Oryctolagus cuniculus: one gene and its partners. The protein of the gene in region 2 interacts with the protein of the main gene of each other region in a pairwise test. Links are inferred from orthologs where the notes say so. Each region holds a gene or a part of one and is shown on either strand. Other genes may lie near its edges. The genes, in order: AMOT, SEPTIN1 and AURKB.

Region 1 (6,077 bases), on a different chromosome or scaffold from region 2:
ATCAACACAATCCCTTGGGGCAAGGTAGCTGGGAAACTGAGAGGGAAAATTAGCTCTAGCATCTTTCTGTATCCCAGTGCTCCCCACCTGTTCTCCAGCTTACATAAGCTCTTAAAACTATTCCCTTTCATGAGCCTGAGGTGAGAGCTTTCTCTGGCTGCTATCCAGTTGGTAACTGCACAAAACAGCACACACATGAACTCTCTCTGGCTTTCCATGTCTGCACTACATGTTATACACTGTCTTTCACACATGCTGTGCTCTTCAATAGAAAATAATCTGGAAGAGGGAAATTTTAAACAAATTTAAGCACACTGAAAACATCACTGTATATCCACCTGGTAACAGTCCCAGTTTTGTACTAATGCAAACAACAGACTTCAGAACACATTCTGATGAGTCTGTCTTTAGAGGTACTTTCGGAGTATACCAGAATAGACTGAAGTTCATATGGTATTACTTAAGTACTATATTGTTCCAATAAAAAGTCCCTTTAGAAAACATACCCACCCCCCAACCCTTATCCTCACCCTAAAAATAAGAACAAACAAAAGGGGGAAATGATTAAAAGCATTGTTTCTGATAAACTCCAGCTCTTGATAAGGTCATTTAGATGAGATATTCCACCATCTCTGCTTCAGGCTCTTGTCCCAGGATCTGAAGGGGTGCTTTTCTTTCCAGAGTATTGGAGTGGAAAACAGGGCCATCTGAATGAAAATAAGGTGTTGAAGATACTTATAAGGATATTTAAAAAGCTCAATTTTCTAGAAACAGACAGCATTAGAGCCCTCGTGGAGGTAAGGGTAAATTGAGCCTTGAGTGCCACCCCCTCACCCCCATTTACTTCTACTGGGAAAATGGCTTCTACTCATGCCCATTCCTGTCTCAGTGGAAGAGAAATCATCTGTAGACCCTCTCCCCTCCTCTAATGGCTCCCCATTACAACATGAAGGGCTCAGTCCAGATGACCATCTCTGCCTGAGCAGCAGGTACCCACAAATCAACCTGCGTTTTGAGAGCCGTACCAAAAGCTCCCTGCTGTAGAGAATTATTACCTGTCTTATCTGAATTGCAAGTCAAACTTGGTATAGACAAACGACGTGATCCAGAACCAGTGGCTGGACTTGCAGGAGCCTCAGCCTGAGCCAAAGCTGGAGCTGGAGCTGGAGATGCAGGAGGAGCCACAGTCGGAGCAGGAGTTGGTGCCTGAGTCTGAGTCGGAGCAGAAGCCTGAGCCACTGCTGGGGCCAGAGCCGGGGCTGGAACTGGAGCTAGAACCGGAGCCGGAGCAGCTGGAGCAACCTGAACTGCAACAGCAGCAACAGCAGCAACAGGAGCAAGAGCAGCAGCAGGAGCAGCAGTGGCGGTGGTGGCAGAGGCAGCAGCTGGCATCTGAGCAGCAGCAGCTGGAGAAGCAGCAACAGTAAGAGCAGCAGCAGTTGCTGGAGATGGGGCAGCAGCAACAGCAGTGGCAGCTGGAGCAACAGCAGCAGCCGCGACTGGAGCAGCAGCTACCATGGTGTTGGTGTTGGTGGCAGCAGTGGCAGTGTTGGCAGTGATGGCAGCAGCAGTGGCGGCAGCAGCAACTGGAGCAGGAACAGAGATGGGAGTAACAGCTGCAGGCTTGTTGGGTTCCGGTCCACGTTCAGTTTGGGTGCTGCAGTCTCGGCTGCCTGTCTTGGAGTGAGCCGAGAGCAGGGGAGTGGAGGGGGGCACAGGCGAAGGTGTGGAAGGGACAGACTCAGCACGGTAGTCTCCACCCAGGAGAATGCCTGCAAATGAACAAGGGAGAGAGGTTAGGAAACAATACAGTATTCTAATCCATACATCTGATTATCTGTTTCTCTTCAGGACTTCAGGAGAAATTTGAGTGGGCCTAAATTCTTAACCTTTTTGCCTCCAGCAAACTCAGGAGTTGGCTTATCAGCATTTTCCACCATGGCTAATGGTTTCTTCTAGATTTGGAAGATCCCTGGTCCTCATTATCCAACTCCCAGCACAACACATTAAACAGTGAAGTGTTCTGAGTATCTGTTTTATTTTTCCCAATGGTGATTAGAAAGAATTCTTCCACTCGGTTCCACTTATAACCAACACCACACATTACCAGAGAGCTGGAAATGACCAGAGGAAGAAGTCTTAAGACACAGATAAGTCTGCTATTAATTGTGTGATCTATGGTTCTGAACATGAGCATGGTTCCCAAATGCTTTCTCTGGTCTAAGCAAAGGAACTTGCAAGTGTCAGAGGACCAAGAAAGGTGAAAAAGCATCACAAAGAGCTAAAGTAAATAAATATACATGACTCCCTTCATCATGCTTTAAAAATGTACCATGGTATCTACAATACTTTGGAGGTTTTGATTAGTGGGGATGGAAGGGACAGGCTTGGAATGGAAAAAGTACATTCTGTTCTCATATCAGAATGTTCTGGTAACAAAAACCTGCGACCCAGATTGATTTTGATTAAGTAGAATGCTGGGTCGTCCTCTTGTAGGGGAGAAAAGAACAAAGAAATGCTGGAATTTTGAAATTGTGAATGGCACAAGAGGCACATGGGCTTTGGACATGGACAAGGATTCTGTGTAGCAAAGACCAAATTGAAGAAATTTTTAAGAGGCCACTGATGCTATCTCCCTTCCCACCCAAGAACTTAGAATTCTTATCTTCTCAGGCCCTGGCCTCTTTAATTGTTCTCACCATGAGACTTCCCAGTGTGGCAGAGCTCTACAATATGTAGTTAACCATTCAGGAGGAAAACATCCTGACCAGCTACATCTTCCTCTCTAGAACCTGGGCGTCACCCTTTTTCCTTGCTATATGGAGATCTTTTTAAATGTGTGACTATAATCTTCCTTAGTTGTCATTACCTAGGCTCCCCTTCCAGCTCTTATCCTCCCGTTTTTCTTCCATGATAGGGGTGCCAGTCAAGGTGGATGAGTGGGAGAGTAAGCCTGAGCCAGCATTGGAAATAGACATCAGAGACTTCGCTGGCCTCATGGATGACAGCTGCTCTGTCTTACTTGGCTCCTTCCTGGAACGCTGCTGGAGAACTTTGATCATGGCGTCTTTCTCAATAATCTGGGCATGCAGGGTCTTAATCCTAGGAACCAAAGACAAAAAACATATAAAGACCTTGGAGCTACCTCTGTGTTCTGGTCTCATTGCCTACAAGTACTTGATTTCCCATTCTCTTTTTGACTAAAGGGTAGCCTAGTTCATTCTGAAGTGCATATTATGGAATGGTGTACTATGACTTTTTTAATGTTTTCCTGAACACCCAGTAGAGCATCTATGAGTGGCTGCTTACACCTTAGAAGGTCAAAGTAAAGTATTGGTGAAAAGAAAGGCCACGTAGGAGAGAATGAACTGGTGTGGCAGGCTCTGCTGTGAAGAATTTGAGTCAACAAAAACAATGTGTTCCATGAGAAGATGAGGTCTTCTATTAATGAGCCATAGCCTTCCAGTAATAATAAATGATTATAAGTTTACAGGAGGCAACAGGAGTCCTACATCCCAGTTTCAATGGATGTTCTTTCATTAAGAATTCTGCTATATCAGCAGTGCTGTGGCTCACTAGGCTAATCCTCTGCCTGCGGCACCGGCACTCTGGGTTCCAGTCCCGGTTGGGGCGCCGGATTCTGTCCCGGTTGCTCCTCTTCCAGCCCAGCTCTCTGCTGTGGCCCGGGAAGGCAGTGGAGGATGGCCCAAGTGCTTGGGCCCTGCACCCACATGGGAGCCCAAGAGGGGGCACCTGGTTCCTGGCTTCGGATCGGCACAGCGCGCTGGCATAGCAGCCATTTGGGGGTGAACCAACAGAAGGAAGACCTTTCTGTCTGTCTCGCTCTCTTGCTGTCTAACTCTGCCTGTCAAAAAAAAAAAAAAAAAGAATTCTGCTATATCATAGGCTTAAAGGTATATTTTTTGCAAAGAATGATCCAGAGTATAAATGCCAATAATTGAACTTTGAACTTTGGCAGAGGGCAGGTGGAACACAATTAGGAAGGCATAGGGGAGAGCAACACTATTTAGAATTCAACAATTGGTAGGAATTTTCAAGGTAAAGATCATCACATCTCAAACCCTAAGTAACAGGCTAGCAGAGGTGAAGGTGGTAGGGGGATTCTGGGTGAGCAGGCTTCCCAGTTGTCGCTAAATATCTGTGTCCTTCTCTACTGACCTATCTGGTCTCTACACCAAATTCTCAGATTCATCTTCATCCAGATTGACATTTATACCTGCCCTCCATGTCCAAGCAACGCTTGTTGGCCATCAAAATTTCTTCCTCCTCCTTCTGGATGCGAGCTTCAAGAGCTGTGTCATAACTGGTGTTAGGAGAATGACTGATGACCGATGCATCCCTGGGGAGGAAAATGGCAGTGATGATGACAGGAGGGCAGCAAAAGAAATGAATGCTATCTCCACCCCAAGGTAAAGGAGGCTTTGCTGGAAAGCCCTAAGCTGAAGTCAATCGCATTAGGAACAGCTAGTTTCTGTGTGACTTACTGGTAGGAGTTTCCAAGAAAAAAAGTCTCAGTTCCCAGAGTAGATGAAGAGATTATTGGCATGGATGCAGCTGCAAGAGTCACTGAGAGATTCTATGAGATGTACACAGGCTTGCCTTCAGAACTGGACAGATATCTACCCCCAATCTTGTGGAATATGGTCCTTCAAGTTTTTAGGTCATGGCCAAACAATAAGAATATGTTTACATTCTACTTTATTCTAGTGACCATCATGAAAAGGAAAAGGGTAGGCATTGAAGGAAGTCAGCTTATTGCCACAGATGAGTGTTGGGATCTATGCCTGAGCATTGGAAACAAATGAACAGGTCAACAACAAAGACTGGGTAGTCCATGTGAGCTGAAAAGAGGGTCTTTGGGTGTGTAACAATGGGGGTTCCTATGTAATCTAAATCTGAAACATTCTGCACCAAATCAATGAGTCTACCCTAAGTGACTGCTCTCTTGCCAAAGTCCAAACTGTATAAGGGACCATCATGTTCCATCTGAAAATGTCTCAGGCCATTAATTCAAAGACCAATTAATAAGGGAAAACATATGCCTCTCTCTCTGTGTGTGTGTGTGTGTGTGTGTGTGTGAGAGAGAGAGAGAGAGAGAGAGAGAGAGAGAGAAATCAGGACTAAGGGAAAATATTGGTATAATTACATTAATCTTAAAGGAAATCAAACAATAGGCTGAGAAAACAATGAACTGGCCCTGCTTCTTTAGACTTCCTACAAGAATGACGATCTGTGAGAAAAATCCAGGCAGATTTTCTGCTGGCAGTCAACTATATTCTCTTAGCTTTGAGATTGTGACCAGGGAAGAAAGGGATGAAGTGGCAAGGGAAGAAGCAGAAAGTTGATGTTATGGTTGGGAAATTCTGTGAATCTCTGCAAAGCTACTATTCCCCAAAATGCTTGCACCTTGTGTACAAAGTTGAAACCATTTCTTGAAACCATGAACTACCTGGAGAGCAAGAAGAAAAAGGAATACAATGATCATCATTTGCTCAAATCAAAATATTTTTTTTTAACTTTTATTTAATGAATATACGTTTCCAAAGTACGAATAATGGATTACTATGGCTTCCCCCCCATACCGTCCCTCCCACCCACAACCCTCCCCTTTCCCACTCCCTCTCCCCTTCCATTCACATCAAGATTCATTTTCGATTATCTTAATATACAGAAGATCAGCTTAGTATACATTAAGTAAGGATTTCAACAGTTTGCTCCCACACAGAAACATAAAGTGAAAAATAATAGATGATTTTTTTTAATGATGATGAAATCAAATCAAAATATTTTAACATGTCAGAATTCTACACTTTACTCTAATTCACTCTGGAAAATACAGTAATATCTCAAAATTCTATATTCCCTATCATGTAATTCACTTTTTTCTAGTCCTACTAGATACCCAAGAGGAAGCAGCATCACATAGTGCTTAAGAGCTTGGGCTCTTATTATAGACAAGACTAGGTTCAAATCCCAACATTCCCAAGTACTCTACCAACTTTTAGACCTCAGAAGATCAGCTCACTGCTCTAAGCTTCAGTGTCTTTATATGTACA
Region 2 (6,870 bases):
GGGAATAATAAATAGAACCGAAAGGAGAGGAGTAAAGAAAATGGGGTTGGTGAGGCAGGCGGGATCCAGATGAAGCCGCGGTAAAGGAGACCAGCATCAGGGGCTCTGAGGTTAACGCACACACCAAAGGGAACCCAGCTCCTCAATGCTAAACTCACAGTTGGATAAATAACCGCTGGCCTCCAAGGCCAAAGTCATTCCTTCGAAAATGGAGCGCCGATAACAGAGCTGAAATGCATTTCATTTTACAAGCTGGAAACTGGTTCAGAGAGGTCATGTTACTTACCCAAGGTCACACAGCAAGTAAGCAGAGAGCTGAGGTCTAGGGAGTTCTTCCTTTTTCTCTCTCTCCGTCTCCCTCTCTCTCTCCTTTTAGAGATATGTTTCCTGTTCTTTATAAAGTGGTAGGTTTTTTTTTTTTTTTTTTAAGATGTATTTGTTTATTTGAAAGGCAAAGTGACAGAGAGGGAAGGAGAGACAGAGATCTTCCATCTGCTGGTTCATTCCCCAAATGCCTGCAACAGCAGTGAAGGGGCGGGGGTGGCTGGGCCAGTCCCTGGCCAGGAGCCAGGAGCTCCATCTGGGTCTCCCACGTGAGTGGCAGAAACCCAAGTACTTGGGCCATCATCTGCTGGCCTGCCGGGGCTTCAGCAGGCAGCTGGGATTTAGCATGGAAGAGTTGGGACCGGAACCAAGCACTGGTTCTTTTTGTATGTTCTGCAGCCTCCAGCTAACTCCCTATAGCCGTTCTTCCAGGCACCCTGTGCATCTAAAATACTGTTTCTTGGTCTTTCTATGTGCCAGGCCCCCTGCACAAGACACCGGGGAATCCAGAAAGCAGAAGATGGGGCATTTGCCCTCGGAGTGCTCAGCCTGGGTGGGCATGGCAGGAGCTGTGACAGTGCTGGGGAGGCTACAGGAAGCAGAATGACTCTGCGGGGGTGGGGGACAGCCGGAGACCACTTCAGGGGAGGAGGCAGAGCCCCTTTGGATAAAGAGGCGCGAGGCGCGCACCTGGGAGAGCTGAGCGCGTTTGGGTGATGAGAGACAGGTGAGGAAGCCAGCGCCCGGAGGCTTCCGCTGCCACAGGCCCAGAGCTTGCACTTGACTTTGAGGTCACTGGGCAGGCCCTGAAGGAGTCTGATTGGGCCGGGCTAGGGGGTTCTGAAGCAAGGTCTCTGGCTGCGGAACCCCAAGACTTGGAGTCCTTTCAAGAATTCATTCAATCTACCGCACAAGCAAGAAAATTGCTGGTCCCTCCCACCTTGGTCCCATTTATAGCTTCTGGTCCACTCAGACCCTGGGGACTTTATTATTAGTATTACTGGGAAAGGCAGAGTGATGCAGAGAGAGAGAGAGAGAGAGAGAGAGAGAGAGAGAGAGAGAGAGAGAGAGGCTGGTGGTGTGGCACAGTGGATTAAAATGCTGCCTGCAATGCTAGCATCCTGGTTTGGGTCCCAGCTGCTCCACTTCCGATGCAGCTCCCTGCTGATGCACCTGGGAAAGCAGCAGAGGATGGCCCGAGTGCTTGGGCCCCTGCACCCACATGGGAGACCCAAATGGAGTTCCAGGCTCCTGGCTTCAGCCTGGGCCAACCCCAGCTGTTGCGGCCATTGGGGGAGTGAACCAGCAGATGGAAGATCTCTCTCCCTCCCTCTCTCTCTCTCTCTCTCTCTCTGTAAGGCTGCCTTTCAAATAAAGAAAGAGAGAGAGATCTTTCATCCGTCCTCTGGTTTACTCCCCAAATGCCTGCAACATTCATAGCCAGGCAGACCTAAAGCCAGCAGCCCAGAGCTCAACCCAGATCTCACACGTGCAGGAAGGGCGCTGTCTGAGCCATCCCTGCTGCCTCCCAGGCACAGGTCGGCAGGCAGCTGGATTGAGAGGAGACCAAGGACTCTGACAGGCGAGGTGCGGCTTACCCAGCTGCACCAGCATGCCCAGCACGCCCACCCTGGAACGTTTCTAAACCATCCTGTCAAAGCCTTCCTCTCACCTGCTACGGACAGCGGCTGGCTTCCTTCCTCTCTGCCCGCACCCCGCCTCTCACCATGGTAAGGGGGGCTACTGAGGGGCTTGAAATAAAGCTGTGTGGAGAATGGAGGGGCCGAAGCTGCCTGAGGGATGATGGGAAACAGGGTGCAGGTGGGGGGACCCCCAGGTTCCCTTGGTCTTGGCTTCCCCCAGCTCTCTGCTCTGGGCGGGTTCTGAGCATCTGAGCTGCCTACCCTGCCCTCCCCCTCGCTGGCTGCACTCAACTTCCTGTCCCACCAGAGGAAGTGGGGTGCGACAGCAGGTGCAGCGACAGCTCGGGGAGCCATGGTGAGTCCTTGTGCCCAGGAACCCAGGCGTCTCGGCCCCTGGGCCCCTACCCCCAGGGTCGCTAGCCCCAGGTTGATCTACAGGGGGGTGTTTCTCCCCAGCCTCTGAGCTTAAGGGATGCGGGGGGTGTTGCCTGCCACTCCTAGCGCCTTCAACGGTCCCCCCACCCCACAGCAGGACAAGGAGTACGTAGGTTTCGCCGCCCTCCCCAACCAGCTGCATCGCAAGTCCGTCAAGAAGGGGTTTGACTTCACACTCATGGTGGCAGGTTTGCAGAGGAAGCGTGGGGGAGGGGGCTGCCCTTAAGAGACACCCCCCCCCCCGGCTGTCCCTTCAACAACCAAGTGGGTCTGTGCTGTCCACAGGGGAATCAGGCCTGGGGAAATCCACCCTCATCAACAGCCTGTTCCTCACCAACCTCTACGAGGAGCGGCAGGTGCCAGAAGTCAGCGGTGAGAGGCCCCACGTTGCAAGTGTTGCCTTTCCATCCGGGGACTTGGGCAACCACTGCCCCCCCCCCTTTTTTCTCCTCTCTGGGAAAATGGGTGGAGGCAGCGGTTATGCTGGGAAAGGACATGAGCACTGCTCAGACCCCTAAACAGCTCCCAGACCTCCACCCCTACCCCCCACCCTCGTCCTCACAGCTCGCTTGGCCCAAACACTGACCATCGAGCGCCGGGGCGTGGAGATCGAGGAGGGCGGTGTTAAAGTGAAGCTGACCCTGGTGGACACGCCTGGCTTTGGGGATGCAGTGGACTGCTCCGACTGGTGAGGGGGAGGAGAGGGGAGGGGGCCCAGGGGGTGGGGTGGGCACCTAGGGAGCAGTTACAGAGCCGATCTGTCCCGGCTCCCTGACCCAAAAGGTGACACCTGTTTCTGGGGACTATCTGGCCCAAGGTGCCCTGTGCTTTAAATATATATTTAAAAATATATATATATGGGCAATCATTTGGTGCAGTGGTTAAAGATGCCACTTGGGAGGCCCAGGATCCCCCTGGGTTTGGGCCCTGAATCTGCTTCTCATTGTGTCCTGCTAAAGTGCACCGGGGAGGCAGCGGGTAAGGGCTCAAGTGCCTGGGTCCCTGGCACCTGGAGATCCAGATGGAGCTCCAGGCTCTTGGCTTCAGCCTGGCCCTGTCCTCAAATGCAGGGATTTGAGGAGGGAACCACTGCATGAGAGATCTCTGTCTGTCAAATAAAATGAGCAGAAGTCTTAAACATATATTTAGTTTTAATTAACACATAGTAATTGGACATGCATTGTGGGCCAGAGGATGATGGATGGAGAGACCCCCGTACTCAGAGCCATTCCTTACCCGCTGCCTGCACCCTGCTGCGCCAGCGCCAGCCCCTTCTCAATGCCTTTTAATGGAGGCTGAGAAACCACTTCTTCCCCCTACAGTCCTTGCTAGCCCCGCCCCCTTCCCTGCCTGCAGCCTCTGACCTCTGACCTCTGACCATCTCCCACCTCCCAGCTGGCTGCCGGTGGTGCGCTACATCGAGGAGCAGTTTGAACAGTATCTCCGGGACGAGAGTGGCCTGAACCGGAAGAACATCCAGGATTCCCGAGTCCACTGCTGCCTCTACTTCATCTCGCCCTTCGGCCGGGGGTCTGGGGGAACCCCCTGGGAGCTGGGGCATTTGGAGAGGGCTTTGGGGGCGGGGGTGGGGGATGTCTCTGCACCCCGGGGCTGGGCCCTGACCAACGCCTGGCTGCAGGCTCCGGCCCCTGGACGTGGCCTTCCTGCGGGCAGTGCACGAGAAAGTCAACATCGTCCCTGTCATTGGCAAGGCAGACGCCCTGACGCCTGAGGAGACCCAGGCCCTCAAGCAGAAGGTATGGCTGCTGGTGACCCCTGGCCTTTTGGGGCCCCAAGCAAAGCCAAAGTCCTGATCAAGCTTGAACTTGAGCTTTGGCTTGGCTTTGATCTTGGATGGCTGTTTGGGAGGATGACCAGTTAGGCGGGCTGTGGGGGTGACTGAGGAGGGTGGCACGAAGCTGCCAGGGGAAAGCCTCGTCTCTGGAGGTTGAGAACCCGGTGAATACGCAGGCCTGTCTGGAGGCTGGGGCATAGCCATGATGACCTCTGACCTCTCTCTGGCCCCATGAAGCTCTGCCCCCCACTCCCCACTGTCTTCAGAGCCCTCCTCCGCTGTTTACACAAGTGACCACCTCATCTTAGGATTTTGTTTGTTTCTCAAACCTCTATGTGCCCGAGATTCTGGTGCTGGTCATTCCCTACAGTCAGATTTCACCATCTCTGTCTCTGCGTGTCCCTCTCTGGTCTCTGACCACCGGGTGTAACTCTGGGTCTCTGGCCATGCACTGTCTTGCACTCATGCCCCGTGTTCCTCGCTGTCTCTGCCTCTGTCTCCCTGGAGATCCGGGACCAGTTGCAGGAGGAGGAGATCAACATCTACCAGTTCCCGGAATGCGACTCCGATGAGGACGAAGACTTCAAGAGGCAGGATGCAGAAATGAAGGTGCCGGGGGCATGGGGGGCAGCGGCCGCCGGGAAAGGGGTTCCTCCCCCCACCCCACAGGGGCCAGCGGTGACCCCTTGACCCCCGCCCTCCAGAACAGCATCCCTTTCGCGGTTGTGGGTTCCTGCGAGGTGGTGAGGGATGGCGGGACCCGACCAGTGAGGGGACGCCGCTACTCCTGGGGTACCGTGGAAGGTGAGTGACCCCCGGGCCACTTGCGAATCCGCGGGGCCCGACACGGGCTTTCGGGGTGGGCTGCGCTCCCCAGGAGGCCCTAGGGCTGCAGGCTGGGCAGACCCGAGTTCTCTTGTCGCTCGCTGGCCCGCCCCCCAGTGGAGAACCCACACCACTGCGATTTCCTGAACCTGAGACGCATGCTGGTGCAGACGCACCTGCAGGACCTGAAGGAGGTGACGCACGATCTGCTTTACGAGGGCTACCGGGCCCGCTGTCTACAGAGCCTGGCCCGGCCCGGGGCCCGAGCCAGCCGCAGGTGAGCGCTGCCAAGCCCCCGCCCCCGCCCCCGCCCCGGCCCCGCCTGTGTCGCCCAGGCCTCGCTCTTCGACTTTCTCCACCCACTGCGCCTCGGGTCCGGCTCTCAGGCGGCTAGATCCCCGCCTCTCGGCCTCGACACCCCTGACTCCCATGCCCCTCTCCCGCTGCCCCCCAGTAAGCTCTCCCGCCAGAGCGCCACGGAAATCCCTCTGCCCATGCTGCCCCTGGCCGAGACGGAGAAGTTGATCCGCGAGAAAGACGAGGAGGTGAGCCGGCGCCTCGCCTCCCACCCCCCACTCCCCCCGACTCGAGGCCCCAGGTCCTCCTGGAAGGGCGCCTCCGGCCTCGCGCGGTCCCACCGCCCGCACTCTCGTCCCGCACAGCTGCGCCGCATGCAGGAGATGTTGGAGAAGATGCAGGCCCAGATGCAGCAGAGCCAGGCTCAGGGCGAGCAGTCGGACGCTCTCTGAGGACCCCCGCCCCGGCCCTGACTTACCTCGGCTCCGCCTTCGGTCTCTCTCTCGTCCAATCCCGGGTCCTACACTGCCCAGCGCCTAAGCCCGGAGCCCCCCGCCGGCAGACCCGCCCTGGCGTCCGCTTTGTTGCGGGCTCCCGGGCCGAACGCCTGCCTCTCCCCCGGCCCGGAGTTGGCGGCCCCGCCCCCGCCCCGCCCCGTCCCCCGGCGCCGCCCCTCCGGGCCCGAGCGTTCGCTGACTGAATAAAGACGGCGCGCCCCCCACCCCAGCCCCCGCCCCGAGCTTCCTTGCGAGCGGGAACGAGCCTCCGCGGGGCGCGAGCCCGCACGCCCCACCCCAGCCCGGCCGCCAGACACTGCGGGGGACGCCACCCATAAGAAACAGAGACCAGCCGAATTTTATTGGGAGTCGGGGCGGGGGCTCGGGCTAGCCGGGAGCGCGGGTCAGCGGAGGCGCCAGACGCTCGCCTACTCCTGGTCCTTGGCGTCCCCGTGCGTGATGACGTAGCAGATGTTCTTGTAGTCCACGTTGCCGCCCACGTCCGGGGGGAAGGCCGCCCACATGTTCTTGATCTGCGAGAGAGACGCGGGCAGCAGCTCGCAGCGATCCCGACGCGACCCCTCCCCGCCCGCCCCTTCGCCGCTGCGGGGCCCCTCCCTGCTCACCTCCTCCTGGGAGAAGCGGTCACACTGCGTGGTCAGCAGCTCCTCCAAGCTGCAGGGGGAGGGGGGGAGTGAGGAAGGCCGGGCTCACTCTGGATGCCTCCCAAACACGCCGGCCTCCCCACTTTGGCGCTTGTCCCATATTGGCTGTGAATATGTGGCCGTGTCGCCCTGTCCACGGTCCCTCCCTGCCTCTAGCAGTGCCCAGCCCTAAGTGGGACGCGAAGGCGGCCGCATGGGGGCAGCGGAAGCGGTCACTTACAACTGCTTCTTGATTGTGCCCTTTCCCTCGGGGTCCAGCACTTTGAAGGCGCCAGTGATGACATCCTCAGGGTCCGCACCTGGGCGGGGGTCAGAGGGCACATGAGCCCCGGGCGTCCCCCACCCCCACCCCGCCACACCCAGGGAGACGCAGCCAGGAGCCTGGACCC
Region 3 (6,648 bases), on a different chromosome or scaffold from region 2:
CTTCAGGTCCACCTGCAGGAGGGGAGAAAGGAGCAGAAACCGCCTGTGTTCCACCCCAGTGGCCACAAAGACCCGCGCGTCCAACCCTGCCCTCCCCAGCCCCTGGCCTCTGCAGCCTGGAGCGCCGGCAGCGTGACCCACCTTGACGATGCGCCGGTATGTCTCGTTGTGTGATGCGCTCTCAAAGGGCGGGTTCCCCACCAGCAGCTCGTAGCAGAGCACCCCGATGCACCACAAGTCCACCTTCTCATTGTGCGTGCGCCCCTCAATCATCTCGGGGGGCAGGTAGTCTAGGGTGCCACACATCGTCTTCCTCCTGTGGGATGAAGGGCATGCCAGGGGTCCTGGGACCAGGCAACCATGCTCATCCACCCTCTCCCCCCCAGGCAGCCAAGAGACCCTGGGAGGCAGCAGGGGAGTGCTCCATCCAGGTCACGCCTCTGGGGATGGGGTGGGCCGGTGGCCTCCACATTGCCCCCCAGTACTTCCACTGGGGGACTAAAACAGATAAGGCAGGAGGGCAGTGCTGACGTGGGGAAGAAACCCTGGAGGCCTCTCTCATGCCCGCCAAGCGGGTTCTGCTTAAGTAGCTCGGGGTGCTTCTCCACTGGCATTAGAAATGAAGGGTGGGCCGGCGCCGCGGCTCACTAGGCTTATCCTCCGCCTGTGACGCCGGCACATCCGGGTTCTAGTCCCGGTCGGGGTGCCAGATTCTGTCCCGGTTGCCCCTCTTCCAGGCTAGCTCTCTGCTGTGGCCAGGGAGTACAGTGGAGGATGGCCCAAGTGCTTGGGCCCTGCACCCCATGGGAGACCAGAAGTACTGGGCTCCTGGCTTCGGATCAGCGCGGTGCACCGGCTGCAGCGTGCCGGCCGCGGCGGCCATTGGAGGGTGAACCAACGGCAAAGGAAGACCTTTCTCTCTGTCTCTCACTGTCCACCCTGCCCGTAAAAAAAAAAAAAAAAAAAAAAAAAAGAAGGGTGGGAAGCACCTGGGGTCAGAACTATGCGTCTCCTACTTTCCTACCGGGATTGCCCAGAGGTGCCGCCTGCCAGGGCCGGCTTCCCAGCGCCACGTACCGCAGGGAGGGCGCGTGCACAGACCAGCCGAAATCCGCGATCTTCAGCTCCCCCTGCAGCCCCAGGAGCAGGTTCTCCGGCTTGATGTCCCTGTGAATCACTTTCTTCTCGTGGCAGTAGCGCAGGGCATCTGCCAGCTCCTCCATGATCTGGGAGGGCGGGGACAGGCAGTCAGACAAGGACAGCCCCGCGGCCACAGGCAGCGTGCCCCCAGCCTCAAGCCCCCAGCCGGGGTCCCAGGTGCCCACCCGCCCCGACCGTGGCTGTTCGCTGCTCGTCAAAAGTGCGGCTTTTCTGCAGCTCCTTGTACAGCTCGCCGCGCGGGGCGTACTCCAGGATCAGGTAGATTCTCCTCCGGTCGTAGAAATAGTTGTAGAGACGCAGAATGTTGGGATGCCTGCAGCAGGAGACAGGAGGCCTCAGGCCACATCCGGGCATAAAGGGAAGATGATAGGGCCCAGGCTGGGGAACTGGACCCAGCTCTCAGGGGCCACAGTCTGGACTCCCGGGGCGGGGGCGTACTGCAGGTGCGCCTGGATCTCGATCTCCCTGCGCAGCTGGTGCTCCACACCCTCTTTCTCGATCTGAGACTTGAAGAGGACCTTGAGTGCCACGATGAAATGGCTCTTCTTCTCCCGGGCCAAGTACACGTTTCCAAATTTGCCTTTGCCCAGAGGACGGCCGATCTCGAAGTCGTCGATGGTGAAGGGCCGCCTGCTCAGCAAGTGGGGGACACAGCTCAGCGCCGGCCTGCCGGGCAGCCCAGGAGTCTGCTTTCTCCCCACTCCCTCAGCCCCCCCACCTCCACCGCGGCTCCCCCACTTCTGCCGGTCCCAGGCCGTCCCTTCCCGCTGGCCACCTCCAGGCTGGGAGCACTCACGTGAAGTTGGGTGCCCCACTGCTGTTCTCCATCCCCTTCTGCCCAAGGACAGCTAAGGAGAGAGCGGGAGAGGTGAGACCCTGCTGGGACATCCTCCCTACCCGTCCCGTAGACTCCAGCTCCCCAGTCCCTGCTTTCCCTCCTGGGCCACTTGCCTGTGGGCGGGGCGTTGGAGCGGTTCATGAGGACAAGGGCAGAGGGGGTGGCAGCCTCCTTCCGCAGGATTCTCTGAGGCAGAGTGTTCAGGCCAGACTGAGGCTAAGGAGGAGAAGGCGGAGCGCCAGGGCGCCTTTGTCCCAGGGACCCGGCTGGAATGTGCCGCGAGCAGCTTTTCTGCTCCTGCCTAAACAGCTTCCCACGTGCTGTCCACCCCCAGTGCTGAGAAAAACCCTGATACGACAGTTTTGGCCTCCAGCCCCAAGACTCTGTTCAGAGTCTCATGTTAAAATGGGTTATTAATCCTCTGCCTGCGGCGCCGGCACACCAGGTTCTAGTCCCGGTCAGGGCGCCGGATTCTGTCCCGGTTGCGCCTCTTCCAGGCCAGCTCTCTGCTGTGGCCAGGGAGTGCAGTGGAGGATGGCCCAAGTGCTTGGGCCCTGCACCCCACGGGAGACCAGGAGAAGCACCTGGCTCCTGGCTTCGGATCAGCGCGGTGCACCGGCCACAGCGTGCCGGCCGTGGCGGCCATTGGAGGGTGAACCAAAGGCAAAAGGAAGACCTTTCTCTCTGTCTCTCTCTCTCTCTCTTACTGTCCACTCTGCCTAGAGGTGGGGCAGGGGGCGGCACTGGTGCAGCGGGTAAAGCCACCTGCAGTGCCAGCATCCCATATGGGCCCTCCACTTCCCATCCAGCTCCCTACTCATACATCTGGGAAAGCAGTGGAGGATGGCCCAAGTGCTTGGGCCCCTGCACCGGTGTGGGAGACCCAGAGGAAGCTCCTGGCTCCGGCCTGGCCCAGCTCTGCCTGTCACGAGCATTTGAGGAGTGAACCAGCGGATGGAAGAACTCTCTCTCTCTGTATCTTTCAAATAAATAAATAAATCCTTAAAAAATAATAATAATAACCCAAGTGGGCCAAAAACAGGGGACTCCTCCCCAACACCTAACATTTCACCTCCTTGGCCCTGGCCTGTGCCACCGTCTCAGGCATGACTGTCTAGTCTGTGTAGTCCTGTCCATGACACCGCACCGGCTCCCCCAACCCTCACACCAGGGGCCAGGTGAGGGCCTGGTCAACCAACCCCACAGCGTCAGCACACTGGCAAGCTCAGCCGATTAGAGCTTAGATGAGGCCAGGGAGGCAGCCAATGCCACTTCAGGACAGACTTCTTCCTTTTGGCAGTGACAATGGCGGCTCATTCAGACCCGCTCTTAATGGCCTCGCTCAGTGCTCCGCGAGGGAGGCAGCCGGCGCACAGGGGAGACATGGACCCTCCACCACCAGACCAGAACCAAAGCCTCACCAATAGACGGCACAAGTTCAGCCGGAAGGAGGCGGCTCCGGGGGCCCTGAAAACCTGCTTCCCAACAGTGATCGACGCATGGCCAAGTGGAACAAAACACGCTTAGGGCATAAGGGGGCAGGCGGTGCCGAGGGGGTGGTCCAGCGCGTCCCGCGGGGCGGGGTGGCCTTACCGTGGGTCGGCTGTAGGGCCAGGGGTAGGCGTTCTCCTTCTGGGCCATCCTCACGGGGTAGCGGGGAGGGCGCCTGGGCGGAGAAGGGAAAGAGTCCTGAGAAGCAGAAAGGGGAATTAAAAAAAAAAAAAAAAAAAAAAAAACCAGCGGTGGGATCGGATGGATCCAGCCAGAAGCGCCGTCCGGGCTGGCGAGAGGGCTGGCCACACCCCGGACGCTCGTCCCGCAGCCCCGGCGCCGGGACCCGCCCAGCCCCCTTCCAGGACCCTCTCTCTCCACCCCTGAGCGCTCAGGAGCCCCGCGATCCGCCTGAGCCCCTGGCCGCACCGGGCCGAGGCCCGCGAACGGAGGCCGGCTCACCTGAGGCCGCCGGGAACTACCGAACCTGCCGGGCAGCGCCTCCGCCGAGGCGCTTTCAAATCTCCCGCTCTGGCCCCATTGGCTGCCGGCGCCACCCTCGCCCAATTCTCATTGGATCTCTCACCTATGACGTAGCCAAGGGGACCCAATGGGAACCGCGGAAGGCGAGCCGCCGCCGACTCCGTTCCGGTTTGGGAAAAGTTCCCCCGGTGACCCGGGGAGAGGAGTTTTTGCTTTCTCTTCGTTTTTAAAAGTGTGAATTTTTAATATAAACGGAGACTGTGTGAGCCAGGATCGAAGTTCGTTTCCTTCCGGGCCGCCGATGCCGGCACCGTGGGTGAAGCGAGCTGCCCCGGTTCCCAGCGGGATTTAAACGCGGGCCTTGGGTCCCCGTGCGGGGGGACCGGGTCTTCAAACCCGAACAAAGGTGCATCGAGTAGCTGCAGGCGCTAGCCAGGAAGAAACGGCGACTGTGGCCTGGGCCGAGTGTCCTCTCCTGCCTGCCACGGGCTGAGTGACGGGTGGAAGTGGTGAGCCTGGTGAGCAAGGCAGGCGTTCGGTGCCTCGCGTCTACACTGGCGGCAGCCAGAGGCCCGCTGTCCCCGTGCGGGGCAGGCTTGGCAGTAGGTAGGGTAGTCCAGGAGGAGCAGCAAGCCGGGTTCCTGCATGGGGCCGCGGCTCCCACCAGGATGCTGTGGGACTTCAGGCCTGAGTTAAGGTGTTAACCGACACTCACGAATGCAAAATGGCGGTGGCTGAGACCCTCCAGGGGCAAAGGCTCGGGGCGACCAGCGAAGGAGGTGTTTGCTGAAATTAGAGGGTAATATGGAAGGGGTAGCGGGAAGGTGGTTATAGATACCAGCTACGACCTTGTGACCAGCTGCGGAAATAATGAGTGTGATTCTCATGTGCACTTCTTCCTATTTTGTTATGGGTGTGTGTGTGTGAGAGAGAGAGACATGTAGGCGAGAAGACGGATTGCCTCTTTGCGTCTTCTTATAGAATAACTAACGCAAGTCAGGGGCTCGAGTTTGGATGGGCAGCGAGGGCAGCGGGCGTGTCGGGGGCTAGCCTCACACCCTCTCCTGTCCGCCTCCGTCTCGCTCTATAGGACGCCCTAGACATTGGGACCACTCTGGCAGGAGGAGGGCCAGGGGCGACGGAGCGGAGGGGAGCGGAGGGCAAGGCCCAGGTTCCAGCCTGGACAGCGGGTGCCGTGTGGACGGCGGGGAGGTAGGACACATTCCTTGCCAGCCACCCAAGCCTGCCTCACCAGCAAAGGCACTATCAGTCAAGGAAAGAGATGGCAAGAAAAGGAGGGCCAGGCTCGCTGGGCGCTGGGCGGCCGGGCTGCATTTCTTTGTTTTTCTGTTGTTTACTTTCAGCGTAGTAGAAGCAAGGAGATACATACGCCTCCAGGCTAGCGCCCTCTGAGAAATCTGGAGACAGCTAACAGTAGTATTTAATGCCTTGTGTTCCATGCTAAGTTGACAAAGATAGAGCATCAGAGATCATTGAAAACACTTAAAAAACGTGGACCCGAATTCTGAACACAAGAAAAAAAATTATTAAAAAGAGCAAAATAATGAATAGATCACCTTTGGGAAAGTCGTACGGCCCTTTGGACAGCAGCAGTTGGCAGTTCAGCTAAGGGGACCTTTTACTTGGGAACTTGGAAGTTTCAGGAATTTATGCCACAAACCTAATTCGGTAGGGGCAGAGTAAAAATGAATCACAAAGATGCTCAGGGCAACCTTTTAAATACTAAGAAAAAAAGTGCAGATCATCAGAAAACCAAACTACCGAGCTGTGGAAGAGCTGTTTAAGAATTCGCAGAACTGCCATCAGACGTTAGGTGGCCATTAAAAAGATAAGGACTGTAGAGCTATATTTTATTGCATTGAATGACATTAACCGAGGACAAGTTACGGGCACCACTGACAAGTAGGTAAATCGCCAAAAATGAAAACAGTGATTAGGAGAATGATGTGAGTATTATTGCTTTCACAATGATTAATTATTACTACATTCTTTCTAAGAGAGAACATTTGTTGCTCCAAATGGGAACCAGAATTGTGGGTTGTTCCTGAACAATTTCTGTGTTAGGATACCTGACGTACTCACGAGGTTAAAGGTATTACTATATTAATTGATTGATTTGATGGAAACAGTGAAGTGAAATAAATGTACCCACAGCTGTATTTTAGGAGAAAATCCAGACACTTTAGGAAAATGTTGCAGACACACTGAGGTTCCTATTTTTCCCATGTAACAAATCTTCCAGGAATTTCTTTCCATTGTCTTGGAAAAGACAGCTCTTAGCCGAAAATGAGTGTCTCCCGTGACCCCGACGTGATTTGAACACGCAACCTTCTGATCTGGAGTCAGACGCGCTACCGTTGCGCCACGAGGCCGCTGTGAGTCAGTAGCCTGACGGGTCGTGTGAACCGACATCTCGTCAGCAGCGAGGGGCGGAGTCTCCAGCCTCACGCCCCGCCTCCACGGCCGCGCGCGAACGCACGTGGGGTTTAAACTCGGCGTCTGGGTGCGGGCCGTGCCAGGGCGCCGCTGGTTCCAGCCCAGTTCTGCGGCCTCGGGACGCCTGGGGCTCGCGCGCTGCAGAGGCGGCTTCACGCATTTGGGCCTGTTTTTCTGGGGAGGAGACGTGGGGACGGTGTCCCCGCGGCCCACGCTCT

The links.
Region 1: the proteins of SEPTIN1 (region 2) and AMOT interact in binary tests that used the Homo sapiens proteins (3 or more experiments, as listed by UniProt). The two-hybrid records come from large-scale screens. The link is inferred for Oryctolagus cuniculus from reciprocal best matches to the Homo sapiens genes SEPTIN1 and AMOT.
Region 3: the proteins of SEPTIN1 (region 2) and AURKB interact in binary tests that used the Homo sapiens proteins (3 or more experiments, as listed by UniProt). The link is inferred for Oryctolagus cuniculus from reciprocal best matches to the Homo sapiens genes SEPTIN1 and AURKB.

The regions. Positions count from the first base shown.
Region 1 is NC_091453.1:80,572,314-80,578,390, reverse strand, and holds part of AMOT (angiomotin), read right to left. Parts: intron 4,361-6,077; coding exon 4,238-4,360; intron 3,103-4,237; coding exon 2,870-3,102; intron 1,773-2,869; coding exon 1,056-1,772; intron 708-1,055; coding exon 610-707; 3' UTR 1-609.
Region 2 is NC_091450.1:6,685,944-6,692,813, forward strand, and holds SEPTIN1 (septin-1), read left to right. Parts: upstream 1-2,439; coding exon 2,440-2,590; intron 2,591-2,687; coding exon 2,688-2,774; intron 2,775-2,966; coding exon 2,967-3,090; intron 3,091-3,797; coding exon 3,798-3,932; intron 3,933-4,041; coding exon 4,042-4,159; intron 4,160-4,704; coding exon 4,705-4,806; intron 4,807-4,901; coding exon 4,902-5,001; intron 5,002-5,139; coding exon 5,140-5,299; intron 5,300-5,476; coding exon 5,477-5,567; intron 5,568-5,684; coding exon 5,685-5,771; 3' UTR 5,772-6,045; downstream 6,046-6,870. Other genes in the region: MYL11 (myosin regulatory light chain 2, skeletal muscle isoform type 2), read right to left, coding at 6,245-6,349, 6,443-6,491, 6,702-6,780. UniProt on the Homo sapiens protein: Filament-forming cytoskeletal GTPase. May play a role in cytokinesis.
Region 3 is NC_091448.1:52,687,446-52,694,093, forward strand, and holds the start of AURKB (aurora kinase B), read right to left. Parts: upstream 4,038-6,648; 5' UTR 3,953-4,037; intron 3,689-3,952; exon of another isoform or gene 3,666-3,688; 5' UTR 3,641-3,665; coding exon 3,593-3,640; intron 2,216-3,592; coding exon 2,113-2,215; intron 2,010-2,112; coding exon 1,958-2,009; intron 1,792-1,957; coding exon 1,600-1,791; intron 1,475-1,599; coding exon 1,336-1,474; intron 1,227-1,335; coding exon 1,078-1,226; intron 317-1,077; coding exon 142-316; intron 13-141; coding exon 1-12. UniProt on the Homo sapiens protein: Serine/threonine-protein kinase component of the chromosomal passenger complex (CPC), a complex that acts as a key regulator of mitosis.